Linked DNA regions of Sus scrofa. The protein of the gene in region 2 purifies or fractionates together with the protein of the main gene of each other region. This does not show direct contact. Links are inferred from orthologs where the notes say so. Each region holds a gene or a part of one and is shown on either strand. Other genes may lie near its edges.

Region 1 (3,822 bases), on a different chromosome or scaffold from region 2:
GAGTTCCCTTTGTGGCTCAGTGGAAACAAACCTGACTGGGATCCATGAGGATGTAGGTTTGATTCCTGGCCTCGTTCAGTGGGTTAAGGATCAAATGTTGCTGTGAGCTGTGGTATATAGGTTGTAGACTTGATCAAGTTGCTGTGGCTGTGGTGTAGGCTGGCAGCTGTAGCCTGGGAAACTCCATATGCTGCAGATTTGGCTCTAAAAAGCAAAAAAAAGAAAGAAAAATTAAAGTTCTTGCTATGGTGCAGTGGATTAAGGATCTGGTGTTGCTGCAGCTGTGGCATAGCTTGCAGCTGCAGCTCACATTTGATCCCTGGCCTGGGAACTTCCATATGCTGCAGGTGGGGCCAATTTTTTTTTGGCTGCACCCGCAGCATATGGAGGTTCCCAGGCTAGGGGTCTTATTGGAACTATAGCTGCCAGTCTTCGGCCCAGCCACAGCAACACCAGATCTGAGCTGCATCTGCGACCTTACCACAGCTCACAGCAACGCTGGATCCTTAACCCACCAAGCGAGGCCAGGGACCAAACCCATAACCTCATGGTTCCTAGTCAGATTCGTTTCTGCTGCACCATGACGGGAACTCCCCAAATTTTTTAAACATAAAAAATAAAATAAGTTACTTTGGTGACTACCAGAGATACAGTGCCAGAAGAGGTGCAGCATTGCTTCTCAGGTTACTCCACCATTTTGGAGACCTTGGCCAAGACACTGAAGAGAACTGCCAAAAAATAGAAAATCTACAAACCCCAAATTAAGACAACAATTAGAACTTTGACTTGCTTGTTTTTATAAACTAGCTATTTAAGCTTTATAAAGAGATATCCAAGATTCATATTTTAAGTATCAGTTCAGTTTATTCATGTTTTTGTCACAAAACAGGGGTTCTTACTGTATGTTCACATGCAAGCCTACATATGTATGAGTATTTTGCCAATGATAAAAAGCTGTATTTGTTTTTTAGGATGCAGTAAGGAATTCTGTATGTCACACAGCTACCGTTATAGCAAACTCTTTTATGCACTGTGGGACTACCAGTGACCAGTTTCTTAGGTAAATATGCTTGTAGGTTCCCATTTTGGCTTAAGAGTGTCTTTAACAGAGGCTCTGTTGAAATTGTTACATGGATGTGGGGAATTCCCTACCTGCCAGTCCTGAATTCTGAATTCTCTTTTTACCATTTTATATAGTTTTAAATTATATATGCTTCCTTGTTTTGAGCTAAAATTAATTTTCCTTATTAGTTACCTTGAATGTAGGTTTTTGAACGAAATGTGTTAAGCTCAGAAATTTGATACAATGGTATTACATACAATGTATTAATAAAAAAATGTCCTCAAATGTATTAAGAGCAACTTAGAAAGTAAAATAGAATTATCAGTAACTTGAGATCCATAAAGTAAAATGATTTATAACAGCTTAAGGCAAAATTTTAATTCCTTTACTTTAGTGTTTTAAAAAGCTTTATGGAGTGCATTTCAATAGTATTGCTAAAATTTCTTTTCTTACAGAGATAACTTGGAATGGTTAGCCAGAGCCACTAACTGGGCAAAATTTACAGCCACAGCCAGTTTGGGTGTAATTCATAAGGTAATGTATACTGATCAGGGTGAGCATACATCCAAACAGAAGCAATTTTTTTGGAGTAAAGTTTACTATAATTCATTGACAAGGACATTTTGTTCAATTGGATTAGTCTTCTTACAGGAAGGATAAAGTAAATAAGAAATGTGTGTTTGTTTGTTATAAAAAGTGGAAATCTTTTTCCTTTGAAGACTCTAAACTATTTCCCAGAAGATGAACTGGAATAAGTTATTTGCCTAGTCTAAGATGAATTTGGGGAAATGTTGTGAAACACAGGGCCTGAAAATTGAAGCATTTGCTTTTAACCGAGATGTGCCTGGATCTCCTAAAAGCTGTCTTCTCATTAGAGTGGTAAAGTTGCTTAGGAGAGAGCCCCACTTCCTCTTCTCTGGAGAAAAGACAGTGATCATGGAAAATGTCATGCTTTTTTTCTCTCACATACTCTTACTGACACCTTTGCGATGGCTCAAATTTACAGGGTCATGAGAAGGAAGCATTACAGTTAATGGCAACGTATCTTCCCAAGGACACCTCTCCAGGATCAGCCTATCAGGAAGGTGGAGGCCTCTATGCACTAGGTCTCATCCATGCCAATCATGGTGGGGATATAATTGACTATCTGCTTAACCAGCTCAAGAATGCGAGCAATGATGTAAGTCTTAGAATGAAAAACTAAATTCCCATTACTTAAGAGTCCAGGGAAACATTATATTTGCCAGTTGTTTTAGTGAATAGAAATTTTGTAGGATTCCCAAACCGGTACTGTTCTCATGGAATCTTTTCTTATAAAGATAATTTCCTTTCCTTCTTTATATGCTAAAATTTTGCTTATCGGTCCTTTAAACCTTGTCTCTGACAAGCAAAATAAAGTACCAGATACTTATAAAATACATGTTGTACTCCCATACGCTAGTCTTGTAGTGTTATATAAGTGATCAGTGATTGTTTAGTCTAATTCTATTTTATAGGAAGCTAAAGCCCAAAGAAATTATATGTACTTGCTCAAGAATCAGAATTTTTGCTTGTTTGCTCTTTGATGAGGTTTTTTTTTTCTTTTTTTATTTACAGCCTCGCCTGCGGCATAGGGAAGTTCCTGGGCTAGGGATCGAATTGGATCCACAGCCACTGCAACACCAGATTTGAGCTGCAGCTTGTAGCAAGCTGGATCCTTAACCTGCTGAGTGAGGCCAGGGATTGAACCTGCATCCTTACCGACACTATATCAGGTTCTTGACCCACTGAGCCACAATGGGAACACCTGGTGATTTTTTTTTAAGTGTAATTGGTTTGAAAAAAAACTTATTAAGCAGCCCTGTTCTTATTTTAAGGAACCTTGAAAGAGGATTTTTAACTTTTATGTTAGTTTCTTTTAGAAGGCTGTTTAGAGAGTAGCTGAGTGAGCCAGAAAACTGTCCTATTTAGTGAAAAGATTGAGGCCAGTAGGATGGTCTCTCTGGGCTAATAAGCCCCCTATCCACAAATCCTATGTATCTTTCACATATCTCTACCTCATTTCCACTGGTCTCAGGTAAAAATTTTCTTATCAGATAAAGTTTTTGGTTACCAGCAATAAAAACCTCTGCTGACCAACTTAAACAAGGAGTTTATTGGAAGTAGCTTGCATAGGAAAAGCTGATGAACCAGCTCACAGAGATTAAGAGTCAGGGCAGTTCTAGGGATCTAGATAGTAGGAACTAATGGGGTCATCTCTTCAGGGCTCTTCTGTCAGAAGGAATGAACTTCAGTCATTCCACTTAAGAAAGCTTAAAATTCCAGAGGAGCGTCTGATCGGCCTGTCAAGTTACAGGCGTACACTTTGGCTAGGGGAAGGTGGGAGCTTTGCTTTGAATGACAATCCTACCAAGACTCTGACCAGTGGGAAGACTATTCCCCAAGCAGGATTGGGGTGCTCTCGCCAATAAAAGGATACTGTTATTCAAAAATAACAGATCTTCACAAAAATATTCTTCAAATAAAGACTAAGTTTCGCTTTTGACACCATTTTCTCCCACTTTCTTCATAACCATGTTCCATTAAATACCTTTTTCTCTCTGTCTTCAGTCTCCTTCTGTGCTGCCTCCCTGAGTCCATAAGCCTATCAGGTCTCACCTATCCTAAAAGAATCTTTCCTCGCCACTTGATTCTCCCTTTTTAATCATTATCATCTTTTTCCTCCTCTTCTGATGTAAACTTATTGGAAGAGAACTGTATTGTCTCTCTCCATTTTCTTT
Region 2 (3,822 bases):
GAAGATTTTTAAGTGATTAGCACTTTTCTTGACACATAATAATCTCTACCATTACTATACGAACAGAAATTTTTTATTAAACATAGTTGATTTATAATGTGATTTCTGCTGTACAGCAAAGTGACTCAGTCATACATATTTATACATTTTTTTAAATTTTATTTTTCATCATGGTCTATCCCAGGAGACTGGATATATTTCCCTGTGCTATACAGAACCTTACTGTTTATCCATTCTAAATGTAATAGTTTGCATCTACTAACCCCAAACTCCCAGTCCATCCCACTCCCTCCCCCTCCCCCTTGGCAACCACAAGTCTGTTCTCTATGTGTTTTTATACAAATGGAAATCCTGCATGAGAAAAACCTATCAAAGGAAAACAAGATAAGAAATAATTTGGGAGTTCCCATCGTGGCACAGTGGTTAACGAATCCGACTAGGAACCATGAGGTTGCGGGTTCGGTCCCTGCCCTTGCTCAGTGGGTTAACGATCCGGCGTTGCCGTGAGCTGTGGTGTAGGTTGCAGACGCGGCTCGGATCCCACGTTGCTGTGGCTCTGGCGTAGGCTGGTGGCTACAGCTCCGATTCAACCCCTAGCCTGGGAATCTCCATATGCCGCAGGAGCGGCCCCAGAAATAGCAAAAAGACAAAAAAAAAAAAAAAAAAAAAAGAAATAATTTGGATACAAATGAAAGAAAAATACACTTTAAAAAGGAAAATTAATCTAAAAGCTGTTTTTCCTTTTAAAATGCCCCATAAAAAAAGTAAACCTTTGGCAGTAATAATAAAGTAGAAACAACAGAATTTCTCCACTTGAATGGTTAATGGAATATTAAGAATACTATGATAGTGTATGTGTGACCAGGTCATCTTGCTGTGCAGTAGAAAATTGACAGAACACTGTAAATCAGCTATAATGGAAAAAATAAAAATCATTATAAAAGAAAAATATGATAGAAGTAAATTATATTACCAAACATTTAAAGCAGATGGTTAGAGATGAATGCTTTTCTACAAAAAGATAAAATACAAGGAAATACTAAAACCCTAATAAGTTAAAAAAAAAAGGGGGGGGGGAACCATCTACTGAAAATAGCCTAGAAATCTGAACTAATGCAAAAACTTCCTTCTGTCTACTCTCCTGGTCTCCACTCCAAGTCTTCCTCCACCCAGCAGCCAGAGTGACTGTGTCATTACCCCCAATACCCCTTCAAGTGGCTGCCACTGGAATCCCCAGGCTTGACCTCCGGTCATCCGTCCTCTGGTGCACTGGCTGCATCACTGTGGCCTTCTTTAGCTCCCTGAAGGCTTTACACTCCACTGCAACTCAGCGTCTCTGCACAAGGCCTTCTCTGCCTCGAGTGGTCTCCCCATCTCTCTGCCTGACTACTTCCTACAACCAGAGAGGCCTCCCTTACATCCCACACTTAATTTAAATCAAGTCCCTGTACATATTCTTTCATAGAATTCTTTTCCCTATTAGCATTTATAATTATAACTGTTCACTGTTTGCCTAATTGTTAATACTTATCTCCCCAAGTAGATGTTTCTTTCTTCACCAACATATCCTTAACTCCTGGCATATACAAGGTACTCAGTAAATATTCATCAAATGAATGATGAGATTGATGAAGCTAAATAAGAAAACAGAGACCAACTCATGAAGGGCCTTTTATACCTCGCTATTCCAAGGGTAAGAGAAGGCAATAGAAGAGTTTTAAATGGGAGAATGACATCATTGAACACATACCTATCTCAGCAAAGCAGTATTAACAGCAGGCATGTCATATGTATGACAAGAATGTCCTATTCCTTCCTACAAACATAACAGACACTCTTCTAAGATACTCTTTTTCCACTGAACTCAAATCGGGCCTCAGAATCCCTCTCCGGGCAGACCTCCAGGAAGCCACTGCCAGTCAATTAGTGTGGCCCAAGGGAAGAAACTTGATGACAGCTCAAAAACCCCAAGGTCTAGTATAAATACAGTGGAAGACTATGAACCATTTTAAAAATGAAGGAGCCAAATGTTCCATGGAGAACATTAGGTTAGAAAAGAAAATCTTGATGTAACAATTATCCAACTTTTAGTAACAGTACTTTACAAAAACCTAAAACAAGAGCTGTACAACAGTAGCTTGCTTTTAAAAACATTTCTTTTGCTTACTTTTAACTAAATTTATATTCACAGTCGGCCAATGATTAAAGAATATTCTTGCCCCATTACCACTTGACTTTCGTATTGGAATCAAGGGCACGAACAAGCCTCCATATATTCCAGAATAATTATCCCAATTACATCATCTAATACTGGTGCCAAGTGTACAGTTGGTGCTAAATGCAGCTGTGCTAAGCATACAAGGTACTTTTAAATCATGGGAGCTGGTCCTGGACTTACTCTCCATTTTTAAAGGCCTTAAAACTGGGACCAGTGAAACTATATTTTGATAATGGGAAGAGAAAATTCACTTGATAAAATATATCCACGTATTCACCATTTAATTCCCCCAACTGTCCCAGCATGCTTACCTTTTTGCGTACTCCTTCTTGGGTGCTGGACAGCTTGAGCAAAACAGGAGGAAGGAATTTAGATATAATATTCTGTAACTGTTCATCTGTTTCAGCATGGCCAAGTCGTAAAAAGACCCGTTCAAGCTGATCTAAAATACAGAAGGAAAAAAAGGAGAATTTAGCAGATCAAACACAACCAACACTAATTACTTTTACAGTTTAATCCTTTTTTCTATACTGCAGATCCTTCAGTCAGAACTTTAAAGCTAGCTCTGTATGCAGATGCTTTTGGCACAGCTCTGAAACAACACTAAAAAGGTTTACTAGCTAATTATACTGTCTTAACACTTGTCCTGGTCATTGAATCTCTAGACGAGAAGAAAACAAAGCCAAGAACAGCAAATCTCTCTCCTACATACGAAGTTACTTGGCTTTTCTAAAGGATTTGGACACTAGGAAAGACACAAGGTTTTGAAGAAATCTTTTAGACCTCACTAGCAGAGCGAGGCAGGAGAACTATAATCAGATACCAGGGATAAGACATCTTTGGTGAAACCATCTTACTAATGAAGTTCTCCAAAGGCAGAATCACTGCCCACTACCGCTGGGATTAGCTAACCAGACCGTGAGACAAATTTCCACCAAGAAAGCCACTGAGAGAGAAACATGATAGCACCATGGGAATGCTCTCGGCAAAAGCCAGGTTGTGATAAACTGGAGAATAAGAAACCCAACCAATACACTGCAGGGGAGGAGATGCGACAGAGGTGAGAGGGGAACCTACCAAAGGCATATGACTGAATATTTGATTTTTTTAAATTACTGTTAATTTTGTAGGTGTTATAATGGTATTTTGGTTATGTTTGTTTTTTAAAGATTCTTACAAAAAGTATCAGTAATGAATAGGGAGTTTCCAAAGGGGTTGGAAATGTCCTATATCTCAATCTGAGTGATGATTACACAGATACATACATTTATAAAAATTCACAAGCTCTACACTACCATAATTTCTACTGGTTCTATTATACCTCAACTTTAAAATTTATTTAAAAACAGAGAAAGACAAATACCATGTGATACCACTTATATCTGGAATCTAATATATGGCACAAATGAACCTATCTACACAAAAGAAACAAACTCATGGACATAGAGAACAGATTTGTGTGCCAAGGGGAAGGAGGAGGGAGTGGGATGGACTGGCAGTTTGGGGTTAGTAGATGCAAACTATTGCATTTGGAGTGGATAAGCAATGAGATCCTGCTATAGAGCACAGGGAACTAGATCTAGTCACTTGTGAAGGAACATGAT

What was found.
Region 1: the proteins of KIAA0368 (region 2) and PSMD1 purify together in Homo sapiens (affinity purification with western blotting; 3 studies listed by BioGRID, with this or other methods). This does not show direct contact. The link is inferred for Sus scrofa from reciprocal best matches to the Homo sapiens genes ECPAS and PSMD1.

Annotation. Positions count from the first base shown.
Region 1 is NC_010457.5:131,831,426-131,835,247, forward strand, and holds part of PSMD1 (26S proteasome non-ATPase regulatory subunit 1), read left to right. Parts: intron 1-971; coding exon 972-1,060; intron 1,061-1,518; coding exon 1,519-1,597; intron 1,598-2,069; coding exon 2,070-2,243; intron 2,244-3,822.
Region 2 is NC_010443.5:252,299,217-252,303,038, forward strand, and holds part of KIAA0368 (proteasome-associated protein ECM29 homolog), read right to left. Parts: intron 2,661-3,822; coding exon 2,530-2,660; intron 1-2,529. UniProt on the Homo sapiens protein: Adapter/scaffolding protein that binds to the 26S proteasome, motor proteins and other compartment specific proteins. May couple the proteasome to different compartments including endosome, endoplasmic reticulum and centrosome.